Elephas maximus indicus: one gene and its partner. The protein of the gene in region 1 interacts with the protein of each later gene in a pairwise test. Links are inferred from orthologs where the notes say so. Each region holds a gene or a part of one and is shown in the gene's direction. Other genes may lie near its edges.

Evidence for each region. The genes of interacting proteins can lie anywhere in the genome.
Region 2: the proteins of NEDD9 (region 1) and NFKBIA interact in binary tests that used the Homo sapiens proteins (3 or more experiments, as listed by UniProt). The two-hybrid records come from large-scale screens. The link is inferred for Elephas maximus indicus from reciprocal best matches to the Homo sapiens genes NEDD9 and NFKBIA.

The regions. Positions count from the first base shown.
Region 1 is NC_064819.1:54,872,378-54,876,124, reverse strand, and holds the start of NEDD9 (enhancer of filamentation 1), read left to right. Parts: upstream 1-818; 5' UTR 819-995; coding exon of another isoform or gene 996-1,007; intron 1,008-3,747. UniProt on the Homo sapiens protein: Scaffolding protein which plays a central coordinating role for tyrosine-kinase-based signaling related to cell adhesion. As a focal adhesion protein, plays a role in embryonic fibroblast migration.
Region 2 is NC_064828.1:47,727,344-47,731,090, reverse strand, and holds the start of NFKBIA (NF-kappa-B inhibitor alpha), read left to right. Parts: upstream 1-1,448; 5' UTR 1,449-1,573; coding exon 1,574-1,800; intron 1,801-2,445; coding exon 2,446-2,554; intron 2,555-2,885; coding exon 2,886-3,096; intron 3,097-3,392; coding exon 3,393-3,481; intron 3,482-3,597; coding exon 3,598-3,747. UniProt on the Homo sapiens protein: Inhibits the activity of dimeric NF-kappa-B/REL complexes by trapping REL (RELA/p65 and NFKB1/p50) dimers in the cytoplasm by masking their nuclear localization signals.

The DNA.
Region 1 (3,747 bases):
GTCAGCAGGAAAAACAGCCGTGTTCAAAGCTGGAGCTAGAAAAACCAAGCCATCAAAGAAAGCAGCTTGCAGTGGGCACCGATGATGTATAGTGCGTCCACCGGCCAACCCCATTGGAGAGGTCACATGGAACCTTTATCCTAAGCCAAGCCAGTGAAGGTCACCAAACGTGTGTGACGCTGGACTCGGGGAGGCCTTCGTGAGAACAAGCCAGGGAAGCTGGTGAGCTGCTTTTCACTGAGGGAAGATTGTATTCCCACTCGTTACAGATTGACATTGGAAGTACTTTGAACAGTGAAAAGAACAAAAAAAGCAAACAGCCACCAAGAAAAAAAAGAGAGAGAGAGAGAGAGATCAGCAGGGGTGGTTAGTGAAAAGGGGCCTGGAGACAGAACAGCTTTTGTTCCCAGAGTTCGTTTCATGTAGAGATTTTGAGGTGACTGGCTTTGAAATGAAGTGGTTTATGAAAGAGTTGCCAAGGCACAGGAAGCGGGACTGGCAGACTGTTTTGTGAAGCAGTTTCTTTAAAATTTAGGTTAATCTTAAAAAGCATTTATTCCCTTTTCTTGGCTTTGCTTTCAGTCTTTCTCTTTTCTTTTTTTGATGGGGTGGAGGGATAGTTAGGTTTGGGAAGGTTCTCCCCTTTCTGTTTTATTTTCCAATCTTTTTCAAAACGTGAAAAGGAATTACCACATTACAAGTTCTTTGTCAGGAGTTTTCAGAAGCTAAGCCATGGGCGGGCACAGTATTACCTTGCTGCGCGAGCCAATAGCCGGACAGCATGCAAATGAGCCCGTGATCCGCCTGCTCTGGTCAAAACAGTGAGCTCAGACGCTTTGGAAACTTAGCTGTGCGCAGGGCTCGGCGGGCTTGGGCGGGCAAACCATCAAGCGACCGTTCTCCTTTTCATTTAACACTCAATGGAGGGACAGACACTCCAGTCCTTAATGCTGTCGTACTAGTTTAGGAAAACGGTTCCATTCACCGCTGCCGAAATGAAATATAAGGTAAGAGATATTTCCTATTAAGCCTTAGGCTGTGCCTGCGAGTGTGGGTGTCTGTCTGTGTCTGTCTGCCTGCCTGTCTTCCGCTGCGGCACGTCCCCGAAGGGAGCCTTTCTGTACCCGGGAGAGTTGAGATGGGTCTAAGTCACTTTGGTTGACATGCAAGCAGGCAGACACCTAATCTCTGAGACCCAGGACCCATCTTCTCTGAAAGTTGCCAGGGAAAGGACCTGGTGAGGAGTTAGTAACACTGAGAACCCATCTACCGCGGTGTGTTCAGAGGGTCTCTAGCTGGAAGCGCAGGAGGTATTGGCTCAGATCTCGCCTGCTTTCCCGGGCCGGGCTCCCCCTGTCCTGGGGAGCAGGAATGAGGGAGGAATCCCACTGCTGGGTCGGTACAGCTTTTCAGGCTTTACTTTAGCGTATTGCGCTTCGTCTGGGAAGCAGTTTGCCATATATCCTTGGAGTGGCTGAAATTAAAAGCCCCAGGTACGGTTATGTAGCTGATGATGGAGAATTTTGACATTCTTAGGTGAAGTTGAATGCCGGAACAAATGAATATTAGCCACTTCTTGAAAACTCTTTTATTGGCATTTGAATGGACTGGCGGGTATGGGCACTTTTACTGTGACTGGAGCTCATAGAATGTGATAATACTTCGGTAGCATTATTTTCCCATGGGTTTTGCACTGTTATTTTTGTGTTTATTCTTGGCAATAGAATTACAACTTGCTCAGCATATCCATTTTGTTTTAAGTAGCCCCATCTAACTGAGACAAGTGGTTTCCAGGGATAGAATTACTCTGTACCGATGTAGATAGCAATGAGTTGGGTGTGATTTTTCCTTGGGTTGATGAATATTTCTAGGATAGACATAAGTACTATCACTTTTAAACAAAAGTGCTGTTATGAAAATAGATTTTGGCATGATATCTATGCTTTTGGATTGACAATTGGCATTACCTGTCTGGCCTCTGAGGTTGTGCTAGCTGGGAGCTACAGGTACTTGGCTTTCCTTCTGAATTACCTAGCTAAGGGCCCATCCTTTCTTAATGTCAGCTTGTAAATACTTGGTTCTGGCTAATAGCCACTGGTTAACTCAGTGATAAATCTTTTGTTCAAAAGCTGTAAATCTCAACGTCCAAAGCCTTTATTGTAGTGCATGAGTTGTGGTTCTCTTTGGAAAGGTTACAACTCTGTGAAGAAACAGATACCAGTTGTCAGCTTTCCCAAAGGGAAGATCAGAAGATGGGTAATCCTGAAGTCCTCAAGATTTGACTTTACAATGCAACCAGAAACAAACCCTTCTACCTGGCAAGAAAGTTCTGCTTCTGGACGTGGTTCACCCCCTATTCCATAGTTCCTTACTCAGAAAAAAAAAAAACTAAACCCAGTGCCATAGAGTCAATTCCGACTCATAGTGACCCTATAGACCAGTTATTGCTTGGCCTGGGGCGATATTTTTGCTCCTTCTCTCCCTCTTGCTGACTGCCTTCATTTCATATAAACTGGCAAGCAGAAAACAGAGAAATTATGTTCATACATTTATTATTGGGAAGTATGAATGGCTGAAAGTAACCTCAAAGGCTGCAGTCTAGAAAGTGACAGCAGCAGGCACGAAGCCTAAAGTCACTTTTATTCAGTGACCTCATCCTGGTTAGCTTTATTCTTATGGAAAGAAAACATCATGGCAGCTTGTAATGTAAAACTGCTACTGGCTTTCATGGAGAAAACCTGCTCTCTTTACCAAGTTTTACCAGTGTTTAAAAAAATAATATTAACAGTGCAAATACACAATTTTTAGCATTCATTAGCTCGTGGACTCTTTTGCCAGCAAGAAAGGGAGAGAGTCCAGCCTTCTCACCTTGTGCTGACTCTAAAATGAACCATTAGTTGGAGGAATCTACTTTTCCTTTCTCATAAAGCCTGTTTGCTCTCTAGATGGTAATGGAAAACTTTGTTTCAGAAGAGAATTTTGTCATTTTAAGTGGAGGAGATGGCACACAGGAAGAGAGAGAGAAAAAAAAAAAACCCAACCCCTCTGTCGATAGGGAGAGGAGTGATGAATAACATTAATAGAGGTTTACTTTGACAATACAGTTATTGTCCCAATGGCTCTATGAGGTGGGCATTATTATCATACTCATTTTCAAATGTGAAAATTGTGGCACAGAGACACTGAGTGATGTACCCAGTGTCACACAGCTAAAAACTGGTAGGATTCGAACTCAGGTGACCTGGCTCCAGAACTCTCGATCTGACCCACTATTAAGAGAAAGAGCTATCTGTGACCGCCCCCTAAAATGTTCTGTGTGACTGAGGTTTACTTCTTCCAGGAAGTTTAAGACTATTTCATCCCAAGCATTCCTGTAGGATAGATTCTTATGTTTTTAGACAGTAAATCTACAAAGCAAAGTGAAGTGTACCTTTGGCACTTATTTGTTTAATTTGAGCCACATTGGTAGTAAAACCAGGTAATTATTAGATTGTAAATTCCTGGAGTCAGGAATTACCTCTTAAACACCATGTTGCTCTGTACACTATAAACTTAGCACAGTCAGAATTTAAAATGTTCATTGAGAGATTTATAATTCAGATCCATTAGTTTTTTTTTTTTTTTAAACTGGATTATCTGGTTTGGCTGCTTCAGGGATCATAACTAAAAAAAAAAGAACAACCAAATCTCTACTCATTTTGCACTTAATGTATACAACTTCAGGCCAGCCAGCTATGTATTTACAAT
Region 2 (3,747 bases), on another chromosome or scaffold:
CACCAGAAAACTCTGCAAAACTAGAGGCCTCCTGGCGCTAAATCTGAAGAACTCTGATCTAAGTTGCTTTATTTTGCATGGGTCAATTCTAGCAGTACCCATTAACCCACTGCCGTCAAGTGGATTCTAACCCTATAGGACAGAGTAGAACTGCCCCACAGAGACTCTAAGGATCACCTGTTGGATTCGAACTGCCGACCTTTTGGTCAGCAGCCATAGCACTTAACCATTACGCCACCAGGGTTTCCATCCAATTAAAGCAGTAGATGAATTCAATTCATAGCTTGCTGATTAGGAGGTGAGGGTGGGGGCAGCAAGCATAAATTCTATTTCTGCAGATGAAATCGATGAATGCTGAGCACAAACCCCTTTATCTCTAGAGTGACTAAGGTGGATGGGTACAACCACTGCCCTCCCTCAGCGCAAGGGCAGCAAGTACGAGCCAGCAGGGGCAGGATGGGGCAGTGTTAGGGCTGTCTTAGGGCCTTCTGCAGGATGCATAACCGTTACTTTCTTAGCCATCCTTAAGGCCTAATCTTGGGTAAGACACCGTTGAACCCATTCTTCAGCATCCTTCTCCAAATGCTCCTGGAAAATCACCCAGCTGGCACCCAGAAGCAGGTTTTCGGGTCCATTTTCTGCAGCAACACAATGCAAATCAGAGAGAGAGACCTCAATAGTTACTTCGTTATTGCAAGATAGCTATGAAGATTAACGCCTTGCTCTACCTGAAATAATTCTGATCATATTTAACACTTTCCCACTTATTGGGGCAAGCACTTTCCCAGTCAACAAGACTGTTAATCCCGAGGAAACGATCTGAGGGTTCTCCACGCATTTAGGCTTTTAACACCAAAGTTTTCACAACTTCTACCTGGGAAAGCTAAATGTCCCTGCATTGCAAAGAGCCTACTATTGGCAGAATCCCAGAGGGGCCAGCGACAAGAGAACCTTCCCTGCAGAGAGAAGTTTGGGGAAATGAATCCCTATACCCAGCCATCATTTCCACTCTTGCGTTTTCAAAAGATCAAAAAACGGAAAGGACCGGCAGACTGGCAAACCCCAACGAGGAACCGTCCAGCTGGTCTGCGTCCTTGGGATCTCAGACGACCCCAAATCAAGCTGATCGAGGGAAACCCCAAGGAAAGAAGGTTTTTTTTGCAGAGGGCCGGGATTACTGAGTGCTGGCTGCAGGGAAGTACCTGGGGGAGGGGGCTTGGTCGGGAGGACTTTCCAGCCACTCAGCGCTCATCAAAAAGTTCCCTGTACATGACCCTAGTGGCTCATCGCAGGGAGTTTCTCTGTTGAACCCCGGCACAGGGTTTAGGCTTCTTTTTCCCCCTAGCAGAGGACGAGGCCAGTTCTCATTTCTGGTCTGACTAGCTTGGAAATTCCCCGCTCTTGACCCCGCCCCGGAGAAATCCCGGGCCAGCGTTTATAGGGCGCCGCGGCGGCGCTGCCGAGCCCACAACAGTCCTAACCCGCCGACCTGCCCGCGAGCGACACTACAAGGAAGCGCGCAGCCCGCGGCCGAGCGCACCTGGGGAGCAACGTCTGAAGCTTTCACCGCGCCATGTTTCAGCCTGCCGAGCACCCCCAGGAGTGGGCCATGGACGGCCCTCGGGACGGGCTCAAGAAGGAGCGGCTGCTGGACGACCGCCACGACAGCGGCCTGGACTCCATGAAGGACGAGGAGTACGAGCAGATGGTGAAGGAACTGCGCGAGATCCGCCTGGAGCCGCAGGAGGCGCCGCGCGGAGCCGAGCCCTGGAAGCAGCAGCTTACGGAGGACGGAGACTCGTAAGTGTCGAGGGGCTAGGCGGCGGGGTGGGTGGGGGGACGCTGGACGCGCGGGGCCGCGGGGCGGGGGGGGGCGCCGGGCCTGCAGCCTGAGCCGCCAGCGCCCGCGGTGCAGCAGGGCCAGCGCACGGCCGTGAGCCCGGGATTATGCACAGTCCCTGAAACCTTGCAAGGCTGCACGTCTGCGCGTGCAGGGTACGGGGGATTCGGGCTCAGACCCTGGGGGCCGCGGTTCAGCAGCTCTGCTCTACAGCGGCAGTTCCACACACACCCCTAGCCGGGTCTGGGTCCTCCCGGCCGGGGGCGGGGCGGCGGTGAGGAGGCGAAGTCCCCAGTTGCATAAGGGGGGGCGGGAGTTTCTGTCCCGCTGGCGGGCGCCGCGCGGCCGGGAGGGGAAGTACAGGGCGTTCCGGCCTGGCGGGAGGGCGGGGCGGTCTGGCCGGCGCCCGCCGAGTAGGGAGGGGGGGCCCGGAAAGTCCCTGGGCGCCTGCCAGGAACACTCAGCTCATAATAACCTCGCGGAAAACACCGCGGCCTCGGCCTACAGAAACCCCGGCCTTGCGCAATCCCCCGCAGCCCGCGCCTCCCTGGGCCCCACGCAGTGCACTCACCACCCCTGGGGGTTTTTCCCTCTCTTCCCCTCAGGTTCCTGCACTTGGCCATCATCCATGAAGAGAAGGCACTGACGATGGAAGTGATCCGCCAAGTGAAGGGAGACCTAGCCTTCCTCAACTTCCAGAACAACCTGCAGCAGGTGCGCGGCTTGCCAGCCCTGTGCCCTTTCTGACCCTGTGGTGGAGCTGGATTAACAAAGTGGCTCTGGCACAGTTGCCCCCAAATCCTTTCTAAATTAAGTCATCAGTCATTATCTGCCCTAGCCTTTTACAGTTAAACCAATGAGCATCCAACAGGGTAAAGAAAACCCCATTGATTTGGTGAGGCTTTTATGGCCCACCTAGGGCCTCTGGTCTTTCCTCACCCCCTGGAGCAGTGCCCAAACCAGGAGATGTCTGGGGTCCAAGGGAGCCCAGATTGCACGTTTGGTTCATGGCTTATCCTCTTTCTGTTCTTTCTTCTGCTTGTAGACTCCACTTCACTTGGCTGTGATCACCAACCAGCCAGAAATTGCTCAGGTTCTTCTGGGAGCTGGCTGTGATCCTGAGCTCCGAGACTTTCGAGGAAATACCCCCCTACACCTTGCCTGTGAGCAGGGCTGCCTGGCCAGTGTAGGAGTTCTGACACAGACCCGTCCAACCCAGCACCTCCACTCCATCCTGCAGGCCACCAACTACAATGGTGAGTGGGCCACCCCGCCCCACCAGAGGGCAGGTGACGTGGAGCGGGGGAGGTGGGCAGACAACAACAGTTCACCCACTTAAGGAGCCCAGGCAAGAGCTTCAACTTCCAACATGGGAAAGGCTGAGAAAATATGTATGAAAAATTGCCTATATGATGCGTTTATAAATAAGGTTCATTCAGAACCCAGATTCAGAAGACATGCCTGTTTGTCCCTTAAAAGAATAGGTGAAAGACTCTACTTGAGGTGTAAGGATTGAAACAAGTGGTCATATTTTTTCTGTTTGTTCTTCTAGGTCACACATGTCTGCACTTGGCCTCTATCCATGGCTATCTGGCCATTGTGGAGCATTTGGTGTCCCTGGGTGCTGACGTCAATGCTCAGGTGAGTGCTTCATGCCTCCAGGTGGAGTGAACCAGCCACCAGCACCCTGAATAAGACTTGTTGCAAGCAGAAATCCAAACTCAGCCATAAGCATCTTGAATTCCTTTTGGTTTCAGGAGCCCTGTAACGGCCGGACCGCCCTCCACCTTGCAGTGGACCTGCAGAATCCTGACCTGGTGTCACTCTTACTGAAGTGTGGGGCTGATGTCAACAGAGTTACCTACCAGGGCTACTCTCCATACCAGCTCACCTGGGGCCGCCCAAGC